Linked DNA regions of Lonchura striata. The protein of the gene in region 1 purifies or fractionates together with the protein of each later gene. This does not show direct contact. Links are inferred from orthologs where the notes say so. Each region holds a gene or a part of one and is shown in the gene's direction. Other genes may lie near its edges.

Region 1 (8,055 bases):
GACTGGGAGGGAACTGGGACGGACTGGGAGGGACTGGGAGGGAACTGGGACGGACTGGGAGGGACTGGGAGGGAACTGGGACGGACTGGGAGGGAACTGGGAGGGACTGGGACGAACTGAGACGGACTGGGACGGACTGGGAGGGAACTGGGAGGGACTGGGACGAACTGGGACGGACTGGGACGGACTGGGAGGGAACTGGGAGGGACTGGGACGAACTGGGACGGACTGGGAGGGACTGGGAGGGGTTCTTGGGGGGTCTGGGGTAAAAAGGGGTCACTGGGCTGGCTGTGGGGGGAAGTTGGGGTGCACTGGGGGGTGAATTGGGGATGATGAGGGGTCCCCTGACCCCTTTTCCCCCCCCAGGCAGCGGGATGGGGCCGGGTTGTGTTTAAGGGCTGGTTTTGGTGTCCTGGGCCAGTTTTGGGGTCCCGGGCTGTATTTGAGGGTGGTTTTGGGGTCTCAGGTTCTGTTTGGGGCTGGTTTTGGGGTCCTGGGCTGTTTTTGGGGTCCTGGGCTGTATTTGAGGGTGGTTTTGGGGTCTCAGGTTCTGTTTGGGGCTGGTTTTGGGGTCCTGGGCTGTATTTGAGGGTGGTTTTGGGGTCCCGGGCTGTTTTTGGGGTCCCGGGCTGTTTTTGGGGTGCCGCTGACCCCTCTCCCCCACAGGCAGCGGGATGACCCCGGGCGGGGCCGGGTTCTCCCCCAGCGCCGCCTCCGACGCCTCCGGCTTCAGCCCCGGCTACTCCCCGGCCTGGTCACCCACACCCGGCTCGCCGGGGTCCCCCGGCCCCTCCAGCCCCTACATCCCCTCCCCCGGTGAGTACAGCCCCGAAAACACCCCAAAACACCCTGAAATAACCCCAAACACCCGAAAACACCCTGTAACACCCAGCAACAACCCAGAACTCACTGAAACACCCTAAAACACCATGAAATAACCCCAAACACCCGAAAACACCCTGTAACACCCAGCAACAACCCAGAACTCACTGAAACACCCTAAAACACCCTGAAATAACCCCAAACACCCGAAAACACCCTGTAACACCTAGCAACAGCCCAGAACTCACTGGAACACCCTGAAATAACCCCAAACACCCTCAGAACACCCTGTAACACCCAGCAACAACCCAGAACTCACTGGAACACCCTGAAATAACCCCAAACACCCTCAGAACACCCTGTAACACCCAGCAACAACCCAGAACTCACTGGAACACCCTGAAATAACCCAAAACTCCCTGTAACACCCAACAACACCCCAGAACTCACTGGAATACCCTAAAATAACCCAGAACACCCGTAAAATACCCTGTAACCCCTAACAACAGCCCAGAACTCACTGAAACACCTGAAAATACCCTGAAAATAACAAAACCACCCTCAAAACACTGCGTAACCCCTAACAACACCCCAAACACACTGAAACACCCTAAAATACCCTTAAAATAATGAAAACACCCGTGAAACACCCTATAACACCTGACAACACCCCAAACACACTGAAACAGCCTGAAATAACACAAAAGATCCATAAAATACCCTGTAACCCCTATCAACACCCCAAAACTCACTGAAACACCCCAAAACAGCCCCATAGCAGCCCATCACTGAGCCCCACAACACCCGAACAGCACCTCAAAGGGACCCCCTACACCCCACCACCAGCAACAGCCCCACAACACCTGAACCACACCTCAAAGGGCCACACAGCCCTCTACAACACCCCCACAACACCCCACCACCCTCCCCAACACCCTCCTGACCCCCGTGTCCTCTCTCCGCAGGTGGGGCCATGTCCCCCAGCTACAGCCCGACGTCCCCCGCCTACGAGCCGCGGTCGCCGGGGGGCTACACCCCACAGAGCCCCAGCTACAGCCCCACCTCGCCCAGCTACAGCCCCACGTCCCCCAGCTACAGCCCCACCTCGCCCAACTACAGCCCCACCTCGCCCAGCTACAGCCCCACGTCCCCCAGCTACAGCCCCACCTCGCCCAGTTACAGCCCCACCTCTCCCAGTTACAGCCCCACGTCCCCGAGCTACAGCCCCACCTCGCCCAGTTACAGCCCCACCTCGCCCAGCTACAGCCCCACCTCGCCCAGCTACAGCCCGACGTCCCCCAGCTACAGCCCCACCTCGCCGAGCTACAGCCCCACCTCGCCGAGCTACAGCCCCACCTCGCCCAGTTACAGCCCCACTTCTCCCAGTTACAGCCCGACCTCGCCCAGTTACAGCCCAACATCCCCAAGCTACAGCCCCACCTCGCCCAACTACAGCCCCACCAGCCCCAACTACACCCCGACCTCTCCCAGCTACAGCCCCACCTCTCCCAGTTACAGCCCCACCAGCCCCAACTACACCCCGACCTCACCCAACTACAGCCCCACCTCGCCCAGCTACAGCCCCACGTCACCCAGCTACAGCCCCACCTCGCCCAGTTACTCCCCGTCCAGCCCCCGCTACACCCCGCAGTCGCCCACCTACACCCCCAGCAGCCCCAGCTACAGCCCCAGCAGCCCCAGCTACAGCCCCACCTCCCCCAAGTACACCCCGACCAGCCCCAGCTACAGCCCCAGCTCCCCCGAGTACACCCCGACCTCGCCCAAGTACAGCCCCACCTCGCCCAAGTACAGCCCCACCTCGCCCAAGTACAGCCCCACCTCGCCCACCTACAGCCCCACCACGCCCAAGTACAGCCCCACCTCGCCCACCTACAGCCCCACCTCGCCCGTCTACACCCCGACGTCGCCCAAGTACAGCCCCACCTCGCCCACCTACAGCCCCACCTCGCCCAAGTACAGCCCCACGTCACCCACCTACAGCCCCACCTCGCCCAAGGGCTCCACCTACAGCCCCACGTCCCCCGGCTACAGCCCCACCTCACCCACCTACAGCCTCACCAGCCCGGCCATCAGCCCCGACGACAGCGACGACGACAACTGAGGCTCGGCCTGTGGGCGCGGGGGTGGCACCCCCCGAAACCCCCGCCCCAGGCCGTGGGCGTGACCCCCAGATGGCCACGGGGGCGGGGCTGTTGTCGCTCCCCAACAACCCCACCTCGATCCGGGCACGGGGTTGTCGTCACCCCCGAACCCCGCAGGCCGTGGGGGTGACCCCAGCATTGATTTGGGGCCGCGGTGGTTGTCACCCCCCAAAAACCCGGATGGATACGGGGTCGGGAGCGTCACCCCCTGAACCCCCGAATTCTGACGGGCTCGGGGTGGTTGTCACCCCCGAACCCCGCAGGCCGCGGGGGTGACCCCAAAACTCACACAGGGGCGGCGGCGTCACCCCCACGCTGCAGTGGGGTCGGGGGTGTCACCCCCCCAAAACCCACAACAGCCGTGGGGGTGACACCCGAATTCCCGTGGGAACGGGGTTGTCACCCCCAAACCCCAACGTCCAACGGCAACGGCGGTGTCACCCCAAATGCAAATGTGCTTGGGGTTGTCACCCCAAATGCAAATGAGCTTGGGGTTGTCACCCCAAATGCAAATGAGCTTGGGGTTGTCACCCCCAAACCACCAAGTTTCGGTGGGGACAGGGCTGTTGTCACCCCCCGGGTCCCCACGGACTGTTGGGGTGACCCTGGAATTGGGGTGACACCAGAGGGTGGTGATGGCCAAATTTGGGGTCCCCCCCCAGAACTGGAGGGACCCTCAGGTTTGAGGGGGAACTTGACCCCAAAGTTCAGAGGGGGCAACCCCCAAACTCGGGGGGACCCCCAAACTCGGGGGGACCCCTAAATTAGAGTAAAACCCTAAATCGGGGTGAAACCCTAAATCGGGGGGTTGATCCCCAAACCCGGCTCTGACCCTTAAATTTGGGGTGACCCCCGAGCCGAGGGTGACCCCCCCCCCAAGTTAGAGGTGACCCCCAAGTCGGGGGGGGGGAGGGGCTGGTGTGGGAGCCCCCCCCCCAGTTTTGGGGGGGCCGGTGGGGGGTTGTAATTTATGGGGTTCGTTAATGAGGGGGAGGGGGAGGGGGGCGCTCGGTGGTGGCGGTTTGGGGGTTCGGGGGGGGGGTCCTCTGCCCCTCCCCCACCCCCCATTTATTTTGCTGTTTTGACTTTCGGGGTTGTTGTGGGGGGAGGGGAAGAGAATTTTGGGGGATTTCAGATTTTGGGGGCAGTTAATAAAAGTTTTATTGATTTTCACCCGTGACTTTTTTTTGGGGGGAGAGAGGAGACCCCAAAATTCCTCATTTGGGGCCACCTGGACACACCTGGGCACCTGTGGGGGGGCCCTGAGGGACTTGAGGGGGACGTGGAGGAACATCACGGTGGGTATGGCTGGGTCCTGGAGGAACATCACGGCTGGGTCGTGGTGGCCACGGTTGGGTTGTGGTGGCTGTGGTTGGGTCATGGTTGAGTCATGGTGGCCATGATTGGGTCATGGTGGCCGTGGTGGCTGTGGTTGGCTGATGGTGACCATGGTTGGGTCATGGTTGGGTTGTGGTGGCTGTGGTTGGGTCATGGTGGCCATGGTTGGGTCATGGTTGGGTTGTGGTGGCCATGGTGGCCGTGGGTGGGTGATGGTGGCCATGGTTGGGTCATGGTGGTCATAGTTGGGTTGTGGTGGCTGTGGTTGGGTCATGGTGGCCGTGGTTGGGTCATGGTTGGGTCAAGGTCGCCATGGTTGGGTCCCAGCTGCCCCAGGACCCTTTTGGTGTCATTTTTGGGGTCCTGGGACCCTTTTGGTGTCTTTTTTGGGGGTCCCAGGACATTTTAGGGGTTGGTTCTGGAGGTCCCAGCTCCCCCAGGACCGTTTCGGGGTCGGTTTTGGGGGTCCCAGGTACCCCTGGGCCCTTTTGGGGTCGGTTTTGGGCTCCCGGGACCCTTTTGGGGTCGTTTTTTGGGGTCCCCAAATCGCGGGCGTCCCTTTTGGCGGGAAAAGCCGAGGCCCCGCCCACAGAGGGAGGCGCCAATCCGACCCGCGCCTTTCCCATATATGGCGATGTGGGCGTGGCCCGGAGGGGGCGTGGCCCGGAGGGGCGTGGCCCGGAGGGGCGTGTCCCGGAGGGGGCGTGGCCTCGACTGTCATGGCGGCGCCCGTGGCGGACGGTGCGCGCGGGGGCGCGCGGGAGGATTTTGGGGTTTTTTTGGGGAGGATTTTGGGGTTTTTTTGGGGAGGATTTTGGGGTTTTTTTGGGGAGGATTTGGGGTTTTTTGGGTGGATTTTGGGTTTTCTTGGGGAGGATTTTGGGGTTTTTTTGGGGGAGGATTTTGGGGTTTTTTTGGAGGAGGATTTTGGGTTTTTTTTGGGAGGATTTTGGGGTTTTTTTGGGGGGATTTTGGGGTTTTTTGGGGGGGATTTTGGGTTTTTTTTTGGGAGGATTTTGGGTTTTTTTGGGGGGGATTTTGGGGTTTTTTTGGGGGGATTTTGGGGTTTTTTTGGGGAGGATTTTGGGGTTTTCTGGGGGGGATTTTGGGTCTTTTTGGGGAGAATTTTGGGGTTTTTTTGGGGAGGATTTTGGGGTTTTTTTGGAGGAGGATTTTGGGGTTTTTTTGGGAGGATTTTGGGGTTTTTTTTTGGGGAGGATTTGGGGTTTTTTTGGGGAGAATTTTGGGGTTTATTTGGGGGGGATTTTGGGTTTTCTTGGGGAGGATTTTGGGGTTTTTTTGGGGGGATTTTGGGTTTTTTTTGGGGAGGATTTTGGGGGTTTTTGGGTGGGGATTTTGGGGTTTTTTTGGGGGGATTTTGGGTTTTTTTTGGGGGGATTTTGGGTTTTTTTGAGGAAGAATTTTGGGTTTTTTTTTGGGGAGGATTTTGGGGTTTTTTTGGGGGAGGATTTTGGGGTTTTTTTGGGGGGATTTTGGGGTTTTTTTGGGGAGTATTTTGGGGTTTTTTTGGGGAGGATTTTGGGGTTTTTTTGGGGGGATTTTGGGGTCTTTTTGGGGGGGATTTTGGGCTTTTTTTGGGGAGGATTTTGGGGTTTTTTGAGGAAGAATTTTGGGGTTTTTTTTGGGGAGGATTTTGGGGTTTTTTGGGGAGGATTTTGGGTATTTTTGGGGAGGATTTTGGGGTTTTTTTTGAGGAGGGTTTGGGGTTTTTTTGGGGAGGATTTTGGGGTTTTTTGAGGAAGAATTTTGGGGTTTTTTTGGGGAGGATTTTGGGGTTTTTTGAGGAAGAATTTTGGGGTTTTTTTTGAGGAGGATTTTGGGGTTTTTTTGGGGAGGATTTTGGGGCTTTTTGGGTGGGGATTTTGGGGTTTTTTTGGGGGGATTTTGGGGTTTTTTTGGGGGGATTTTGGGTTTTTTTGGGGGAGGATTTTGGGTTTTTTTTGGGGAGGATTTTGGGGTTTTTTGGGGGAGGATTTTGGGGTTTTTTTGGGGAGGATTTTGGGGTCTTTTTGGGGGGGATTTTGGGGTTTATTTGGGGAGGATTTTGGGGTTTTTTTTGAGGAGGGTTTGGGGTTTTTTTGGGGAGGATTTTGGGGTTTTTTGAGGAAGAATTTTGGGGTTTTTTTTGGGGAGGATTTTGGGGTTTTTTTGGGGAGGATTTTGGGGGTTTTTTGGGGAGGATTTTGGGGGTTTGTTTGGGGAGGATTTTGGGGGTTTTTTTGAGGAGGCTTTGGGGTATTTTGGGTGGGATTTTGGGGTCTTTTTGGGGGGGATTTTGGGGTTTTTTTGGGGAGGATTTTGGGGTTCTTTTGGGTGGATTTTGGGTTTTCTCGGGGAGGATTTTGGGGTTTTTTTGGGGGAGGATTTTGGGGTTTTTTTGGAGGAGGATTTTGGGTTTTTTTGGGGGAGGATTTTGGGGTTTTTTGGGTGGGGATTTTGGGGTTTTTTTGGGGGGATTTTGGGTTTTTTTTGGGGGGATTTTGGGTTTTTTTGAGGAAGAATTTTGGGGGTTTTTTTGGGGAGGATTTTGGGGTTTTTTTGGGGGAGGATTTTGGGGTTTTTTTGGGGAGGATTTTGGGTTTTTTTTGGGGTGGTTTTGGGGGTTTTTTTGGGGAGGATTTTGGGGATTTTTGGGTGGTTTTGGGGGTTTTTGGTTGTTTTTGGGGGGGTCGGGGCTCTGAGCTCTCCCCTCCCCCGCAGCCCCTCAGGGCGGCCCCGCCCCCCCCGGGACCCCTCCGGACGCGGCCCCGGCGGAGCCCGAGGAGCTCGAGTGAGTTTTTTGGGGGGTTTCGGCTTTTTGGGGTGGGGGTCTCGGACTCGCCGAGGGGTTTTGGGGTCCCCGACCCCCCCCCCCCCAACCTCGGCTCTCCCCAGTTTCCCCCAGTACGAACTGGGCCGCCCCCCCCGCCCGGTTTGGGGGGCGCGGGAGGAATTCGCGCGGCGCCCCGAGAATTTCCTGCGCGGCTGCAAATGGTGAGAGACCCCAAAACCCCCCAAAACACCCCGCAATCACCCCGAAATCACCCCAAAACTCCCCAAAACCCCCAAAATCACCCCGGAATCACCCCAAAACCCCCAAAACCACCCCGAAATCACCCCGAAATCACCCCAAAATCACCCCAAAATCACCCCGAAATCACCCCAAAACCCCCCGAAATCACCCCAAAACTCCCCAGAACCCCCAAAATCACCCCGACACCACCGCAAAATCACCCCGAAATCACCCCAAAACTCCCCAGAACCCCCAAAATCACCTCAAAATCCCCCAAAACTCCACAGAACCCCCAAAATCACCCCAAAGTCACCCGAAAACCCCCCAAAACACCATCAAAATCACCCCAAAATCACCTCAAAATCACCCCAAAAGCCCCCAAACTCCCCCAAAATCCCCCAAACCCCTCGGGGGGAGATCTGGGGTCCCCTGGGGGTTCCTTGGGGGGTTTGGGGGTCCCCGGGGTTCCTGGGGAGGCGTTTGGGGGTCCCCAACTCCCGGGGGTTCCTGTGGGTTATTTTGGGGTCGCCTTGGGGTTATTTTGGGGTGACAAGGGGGGTTGTTTTGGGGTTATTTTGGGGTCCTTGGGGATTATTTTGGGGTCCCTTAGGGGCTTTTATTTTGGGGTCCCTGGGGGCTGTTTTGGGGTTGTTTTCGGGCTGTTTTGGGGTCTCTTGGGGCCGTTTTGGGGTGACCCGGGGGTCCCTTAGGGGGTTTTAT
Region 2 (7,586 bases), on another chromosome or scaffold:
ACAACTGTAGGCACCAGGGAGGCCAGGAGCCCAGGTGGAGCCTGTAGAACTTCAGAGCAAAAGCGTACAGCCCTGCGCAGGATCCGACGCAGCACCAGTCTGAAAACAGAGAAGGATTCCTCAGGCAGCCTTGTGAGCATCCCTGCCCAGCTGCCACATCCAGCATCCCCCAGCTCATCTGGTCTGATTCATCAGCACAGGCCAGATGCTCCCAACACTCTACACCCATCCAAGGGGAAGTCTGCAGATTGGAACCCCTTCCTGGCTCTCATCTTCCTGTCTCCCTAAAAGCTCATGTACTCCCTATCTGGGGCCCACACTAGAACCTCTTCCCTGGCTGTTCATATTCCTTTCTAGACCTAACTTCCTCCACCTCATGCCATCTCCTTACGTCCTTACTCTGCTCCAGAGAAGCCTGGGTAGATGCCATCAGTGATGCACACGCACAGGGTGCGCACATGATCTGCCACCACGCGGTAGGCCATGTTCACACGCCCAACATCAGCATTCCCGACCAAACCTTGGTATCTGGGTGCCCTGCAGACCTAAAAGAGAAAGTAGAGAGAAAATCAGCAGAAAATAATGGCTGCAGAAGAAGTTTCAACACAAGAGGCAGCCAGCTATGCCTGACATCATGTTTTTCAAGTACCTCTGAACCCCGTGCACCTAAGATGTACTCATCAAATCCTTCCACGGCACTACAGACCAAGACTTCTGTAACTAACACAGGTCAGCCAATGCCCTAGCACTGAGAAACTTAAAACACTTTAAAGGAAAATGAATCAGCAGTGCTGAAATTCCAGCAGATTTCCAGCCTGGAATTCTCCCTTTTTTCTAGAACACTGCATTGGACCTGGCAGGACATAACCTCCCGCCTCAAGACACTGCTCAATAACTGCTCAGAGAAGACTATACTATGCTACCCAGCAAGCAGTCTGTGTTCAAGGAGCTTTTGTTGAGCTGTGACTCTAAGCAGAAGCACCATCACCTTGTGAATAGCATCCAAGATGGGAGTGAAGAGATCTGTGTCATAGCTGGAACGTTTGTTCTGCAGAACTGTCACCAGTCTTTCCAGACCCATTCCTGTATCCACATGGTACTGCGGCAAGGGAAGGAGATTCCCCTCCACCTCTCTGTCAGCCAGGCAGGAAAAATAAAAGGCAAAAGAGAAGCAAGGATCAGTTCATGAGCAAAAATAAGGAACAGGTGAATCAAAGAGAATGGGAAAGTGACAGGGGATGGAAACATTGGGTGACCCAGCATAAGGAAGCTCAGGGATAAGAGTGACAGCAGCCTGCCTTAGCCCTGTCAGGCAGCCATTATCTGACCATCACATAGCATAGGCTGCAATGTAAGGAAAATGCAATGTAGGATAGGCTGCAATGTAAGGAAAAAAGGCCTTCTCCTCCTCTTCCAGACTGCTGCAGACCTCAAGAGATCTCTGGAATGCAGCATTAAGGGAGAATAGGCAGTGAAGGTTGAAGAAGACAGGGATTTAAAGCAAAGGGGACCAAGAGCCATGCTGGGCAAATCTCCACAGTTTCTCTCTTGCTCCTGGTCTTGGTATTGCTACCTTCTGGAAACCAGTGATAAGTCTGAGAATATACCCATGATTTTGGAGTCAGGCTAGGGGGAAAGGCTCTGGAGTTCAGATGAGATGCTTGGTACCTGCTGTACTGCATGAAAACTAAGTTCCAGATCTCCACTACATCGGGGCTGCCCTGGTTCACCAGTGCTGCAGCATTTCTGCCACCACCCACGTGGTCATAGTGGATCTCTGTGCAGGGACCGCAAGGACCTGTGTCCCCCATCTCCCAGAAGTTATCCTTCAATGGGAAAGGAAGCACGTGACTGGCAGGAACCCTGGAAAGGCAGATAACAGAGATGGCAGTGCTGAGGCATACACACAAACCACACAGTAACCCAGATCACAAAGAAAGCTGGAAGAAAGGAATCCTTTCTTCCTTCTACAGACTCAAAAAGGAAACACATCAGAATTCCTCTGTTTCTCTACTTCCTCTGCTTCCTTCTCTTCACACAGAATTACTCTCCTTAGTAAGATTAAGTGAGCCAAACCACACAGGACCCTAGTCTCAGCCCAGAATTATGGGCAAACACAGCCTGGCCCCTGCTGACCAAGACAGGCTCTCCACTGGGTCTGTGGAGCACCTTGCTCCTTGGAGCAGAGGCAAGACCTGAACACCATCAGTGGCACAGAGCTGTCTGCCTTGGGCTCAAAGCCTACATACAGCTGGAACAAGATCCCCAAGCACAGCAGTGCTCTCTGCAATGGCTGCACCCTCTCACTGAAGCAGACATTGCCTGCTTTCAGAGAACACACTCTCATGATGGAGAGGAAGCAAAGGATTGGAGATCCTGTACGTACTTCATCCAGGCCAGCCAGTTTTAGGCACATACCCACCCCCACTGATACTACCTGAGAATGAACCAAAAGTTCAAGAGACCCAGTGAGTTCAGAGCCCAGCTGACTTTTAACAGCGCAAAGAAACCAGAAACAAAATGGTAAAACATACTCTCTGGCCCCCACAGCTGATCAACTAAAGAGCAAATGCAAGACTGTGGAAAGTAAAATGTCAGCACCTCTTCTCTGACACACTTACCCCAAGTGGAGCCACACATCCCTGCACTCCTCGTCTGCGCTCAGCCCCAGCGAGGGGTCTCCACCAAAGTAGGTGACATAGAGACGATCTCTGGGGATCTCATAGACCTCTGTCAAGAGCTCCCAGGCCATGCTACATGCCTCCTCCTGAGCAGGTAGGGAACATAAATGAAGCACAATAATTCAGAGTCTTTAGAATGGGAATCAAACAACAAAGAAGTTAATTTCAGCTGTTTCTCTCCCTTTCTAATTTTCAGACTTATTGCAAAGAGCAAGGATGAAGGTCAGGAGAATGAAACAGCTCACTGCTGCCAGTGGAAAACTGACATTTCTAAAATGTTGTGAGCCCTTCAGCATGGTGTGCATCTATGTGCTTGCTGGCAGAGTTACATGGATTATTTAATTTCCAAAGAAAAAATCTATATGTCACCTAAAAAACTTAGCATCCTTTGTTCTTCTTCCCTTTTCAAACCTTCTAGTAACAAACATTAAATGAGCTGGTAACCTCTTTACACCATATTAAGTGGCTAACACTGGCATTCTCACAGAAAACTTTTATTTTTACATGTTGGTCACAGCTTTGGCAGGCTGAGTGCTTTGAGAGTCTTCAGGACACATTCAGCAATAGAGCCCATGAGCTCACCACCGCTGTTCCAGGCCACAGAGCCCCCAGGAATGAATCTGGATCTTACCAAAACACCTTCTGTACACACTCCTATGGCACTACAGCACAGCTCTGAAAGGCAGGTTATGTTTTCCCCTAGAAAGGGTTCACTACTATCACCTCACCTTAAAGTAATCCCCAAAGGACCAGTTCCCCAGCATCTCAAAGAACGTGTGATGGTAAGTATCTCGGCCTACATCCTCCAGATCGTTGTGCTTCCCTCCTGCACGCACACACTTCTGGCTGTTCACCACCCGCCGGTACTGGGCCAGCTCACTCCGGGGGTGCACCGTGCCCAGGAAAATGGGCTTGAACTGGAAACGAGAGACACACGCTCTAGATGCCTAGGTGTAGGCATTCCTACAGATGCCTAGGTGGCATCTGTACCCGCTATGGACAGATGCCACCTAGTGCAGTGAGCCTGCGCCTGGGGCTCCCGATACACAGAATGGGTCAGGTTGGAAGGGACCACAGTGGGCCATCTGGTCCAACCTCCCTGCTTTAGCTAGTTCGTTCCAGAACACACGGCACAGGATTGTGTTGACAGTTTTAAACTATCGCCAGCGGGGGAGACTCGCACAGCACTGCGGCACTACGAGAGGCGTCCAGCAGGACGGCGGCGCGGGGAGCCCAGGGCAACGCCGGAGATCTTGGCAGGGGACACCCCGAGCCGGGCGGCGCTCCTCTGAGATGCGGAAGCGCCGGCGAGCCGGAGGAGGGGAGGTGCAGGACAGGGAAGAGCACCTGGTTCATGCCCGCATTGACGAAGAGGAGACGCGGGTCGCCGCGGGGCCGCACGGGGGCCGAGGGCAGGCGGCGGTGGCCGTGGCGCTCCTCGAAGAAGCGCAGGAAGGCGGCGCGGATCTGCCCCGCCGACGGGCAGGCGGCACCGCCGCGGCGGGGACTGCAGCGCCAGCGCCATGGCACCGCCAGCAGCAGCCGCCGCCGCAGCCGGGCGGCGGCAGCCATGGCGCCTCACGGCGGACGGCAGCGCCGGGGCGCCCGGAAGGGGCGGTACGAGGGGGAGGCGGGACCCGGCGGAGCGCGGCGGGACTGCGGGAAAGCGCCGCGCGGCGGCCCCGCCGTCCTACGGCGCACGCGCGGGCTCCGGTCGCAGCCCGGGCTCGGACGGGCCCCGGCCCGCCCCGGCCCCTGCGAGCGCCGCCCCGCCGCGGAGATCGCTGCCGCCGCGGAGATCGCTGCCGCCGCGGAGATCGCTGCCGCCGCGGAGATCGCTGCCGCCGCGGAGATCGCTCCCGCCGCGGAGATCGCTCCCGCCGCGGAGATCGCTCCCGCCGCGGAGATCGCTCCCGCCGGTCGCGGCGGGCGGGCGCCATGGCGGTGCGCGGCGTGCCGTGCCTGGCCTGGTGCCTCCGCCGAGTCGGGGCCAGCGGCGACTGGCTCCTGCTGGAGGCCGGCACGCAGGTGAGCCGCACCGGGCCCCGACCCCTCGGAGTGGGCGGGGGGGCAGGCACGGCTCTCGGGGCGCAGTTTGGTGGGGTCTCGTGTTTCTTACAGCGCTTCCCAGGAGGAAAAAGCACCGCCTTGTCCCGCTTAAGGAGCAGCCTCCGTTCGTGGCCGTTCGGAGGAGCCGCCCGGGCGGGCGCCATTCAGCCCCGGTAACGCCCCCGGTCGTGGAAGACGGACCCAGGCGCTGGAGTGGCCTTGGACGAGCCTTCGCTTGTTTATGTCTTTACATTCTTATGTCATATTTAGATAGAGTTGTTCGTGTAACGGTAACGTAAGTGAGGACGAAGGGAGCCCATAGCCTAATTAACAAGGTGGTGCTTTTGGCGAGGTTAACAGTACCTAAGGCATAAGGTATTCAGGTGTAAATGAAGTCACTTTTAAATTGTTTTGATGCGGTACGGGAATAGCCGTTTTCTTAGCGATTGTGTTTTTAAATTGAAAAATGGGCCCTGGTACTCTTCTTTAAAACCCAGCAGGCAAAGACGTGTGATGACGTTGGGGCAGCGTAAAAGGAGTGCTGTTCCGGTGGTCAAAATCAGGTGGTATGGGTGATGCTGTGGCCAAGGCCTTGTGTTCAAACACCGCAAAAGGCACCCATCCAAACGTATGCTTTTGTTACTCTCCCATTGTGGATTTGAAGCCCTGAGATTTGCAGATCTCCTCGGTGAAGGACTGGCGCTAACAACTTGCAGCCAAGGCACTGATAATTATGCAGGGAATCCAGTTTGGTATGTTACTATTCTGATTGTATGCACAGTGGTTGTCATTTGCAGCAGGGAGGTGCTGTAGGTGTGCCAGGCCACAGAGTACAAACTGCTTTTGCTGGAGATTTAAATCATAATCATAGATTATGCTGAGATGAAAGGGACTGACAGGGATCACTGAGTCCAGCTCCTGACTCTGCACAGGACAGTCCTAAGAATCACACCACATGCCTGAGGATGTTATCCAAACACTTTTTTAACACTATCAGGCTTGGTGCTGTGACCACTTTGGTGCTAAAGGACACTGCTCATATGTGGGAATGGGATGTGATTTGCCGGTACTGCTGTGAGCAGCACTGAACTCCAGCAGGTGAGTGGTAACATCTTGGACCCCTGCTTGCTAAATGAGCTTGATCAAGGGGGAATTTTATGACTGCCCCTGCTTGCTCTCACTCATATTGATATGTGAGGTCCTGTAGACGTGTGTGACTGGGCCCTGAGGATGCCACTGCAGGGACAAATGCAAAGCTGCTTTTATGTTTGAATCCTCATGAAGAAGGGAGTCTTTATCCATTTGAGTCTCTGTACCTCTTATGTATGCAATCCATGCTGACAGAAAACTATATGAAACATTTAAGAGGTAGGCACTAACATGTTTAAGTTTGCTTTTGTTATCTTAGTTTGCTTCCTTGCTTTTGGTTATGACACGGGGGTCTGAATTCTTGCTCTAAACTCAAGGTGAGAACTGCTCAGGTAATGCGGATTAATTAAGAGAAGTGTGCAGAGGAGGCAGCAGAGGGAGGGAGAGCAGGGATGTGCTTTAAATGGCAATCTGAAATCAGATGAGATTTAAAAAGATACTGTGCAATACTACAAATATATGCCTTCTTCCAGAAAATAGTATTAGTCTAATGCAGTTACTTAGATCACTTTTACTACTGATTATGAGCTGCATGTAGCTTAGATTCTGAGCCATAAGATCGATGGTGTGATTTACAAAAGTACTGTGTATTTAGGACAATGTTGAGTGTGCACTTTTTTTTGATGGCAGTTTTCTGGGCTATTTTTTTCCTGTATCTTTTCTGTTCACAAATGGTTGAACAGATGCAACTAGCAAAAGAAGAGGTTAAGAAGTAGTCTTGAGACCCACACACAATAGTGCTGGTTTGAAGAAATGGTATTTGGTTAGGTAATGATTGAGGTGGGACAGAGTTGTATCTGAGTGGCTTTGAGCAGCTTTGCCGCTGAGGAAGATTTCCATGAAACCAAGTTGTAACGTGCCTCAGAGAAATTAAAATTTCCTCAGTGGGAGAGAAAGATAATACTTCAAACTTTATAAGCTTCTATTTTCTATATACTCTTAAAATTAAATTAAAAAAAAAATCATACTATGCCAGACCTTTTGGAAATAACCATAAGATATTGATATAGAGTTTTGCTGTACTTAAATTGAAATGCCATAAACTGAATTTACCATGTCATTACTGATTGCAGTAACTATGCTACTTTATTTTTAGGTGACTGTTGGCCGAGGATTAGATAACACGTACCAGCTGGTGTCAAAAACCTGTCCCTTGATGATCTCTCGTAAGCACTGTGTCTTCCAGCAGAATGCAGAAGGGCAGTGGACTGTCAAGGATAACAAGGTATACTCCTGAGATACATTGAATAGAATCCATTCTTTTGGATCTAGCAGTGTATGGGCTATGATACAGCATAAGTGGGATAGAAGGGATTGTGTCTTGCCTGTTGTGCACTTCCAGCAGGAAACTTCAGTCTGCTGCAGTTGGGATTACTTTCTGTATGTAGATCTACCTCTTAGTTTAGCATTATTCAGACCAGTGTGGCCTGGCCAAGGGCACTTTGCAGTCTGTGAACCTTCGGTGTCGCTTTCTTAAAAAATATCCTATATGAATTTTGATACAGGGTTTTATCTTTTCAAAAGGATAACATTCTTGTAGTGCTAATGAAAAGATAAAGTGCAACTCGTTGTTGTAGTGATACAATTGCTTTGATTATAATCAACTTCAACAAGAATCTAGTATTAGAAAAGCCATGCTTCATGTTGTGTTCAAATGAGTTTCTCCCGAAAGTTCTTCTCAGCTGATTAGATAAAATGTTGATGTCA

What was found.
Region 2: the proteins of WRAP53 (region 1) and RNF8 purify together in Homo sapiens (affinity purification with western blotting; 3 studies listed by BioGRID). This does not show direct contact. The link is inferred for Lonchura striata from reciprocal best matches to the Homo sapiens genes WRAP53 and RNF8.

The regions. Positions count from the first base shown.
Region 1 is NC_134636.1:1,989,450-1,997,504, reverse strand, and holds the start of WRAP53 (telomerase Cajal body protein 1), read left to right. Parts: upstream 1-5,037; 5' UTR 5,038-5,041; coding exon 5,042-5,063; intron 5,064-7,043; coding exon 7,044-7,113; intron 7,114-7,217; coding exon 7,218-7,316; intron 7,317-8,055. UniProt on the Homo sapiens protein: RNA chaperone that plays a key role in telomere maintenance and RNA localization to Cajal bodies. Specifically recognizes and binds the Cajal body box (CAB box) present in both small Cajal body RNAs (scaRNAs) and telomerase RNA template component (TERC).
Region 2 is NC_134605.1:29,922,092-29,929,677, reverse strand, and holds the start of RNF8 (E3 ubiquitin-protein ligase RNF8), read left to right. Parts: upstream 1-4,487; 5' UTR 4,488-4,619; coding exon 4,620-4,709; intron 4,710-6,975; coding exon 6,976-7,104; intron 7,105-7,586. Other genes in the region: AARS2 (alanine--tRNA ligase, mitochondrial), read right to left, coding at 1-99, 400-545, 989-1,133, 1,669-1,863, 2,622-2,767, 3,410-3,598, 4,029-4,253. UniProt on the Homo sapiens protein: E3 ubiquitin-protein ligase that plays a key role in DNA damage signaling via 2 distinct roles: by mediating the 'Lys-63'-linked ubiquitination of histones H2A and H2AX and promoting the recruitment of DNA repair proteins at double-strand breaks (DSBs) sites, and by catalyzing 'Lys-48'-linked ubiquitination to remove target proteins from DNA damage sites.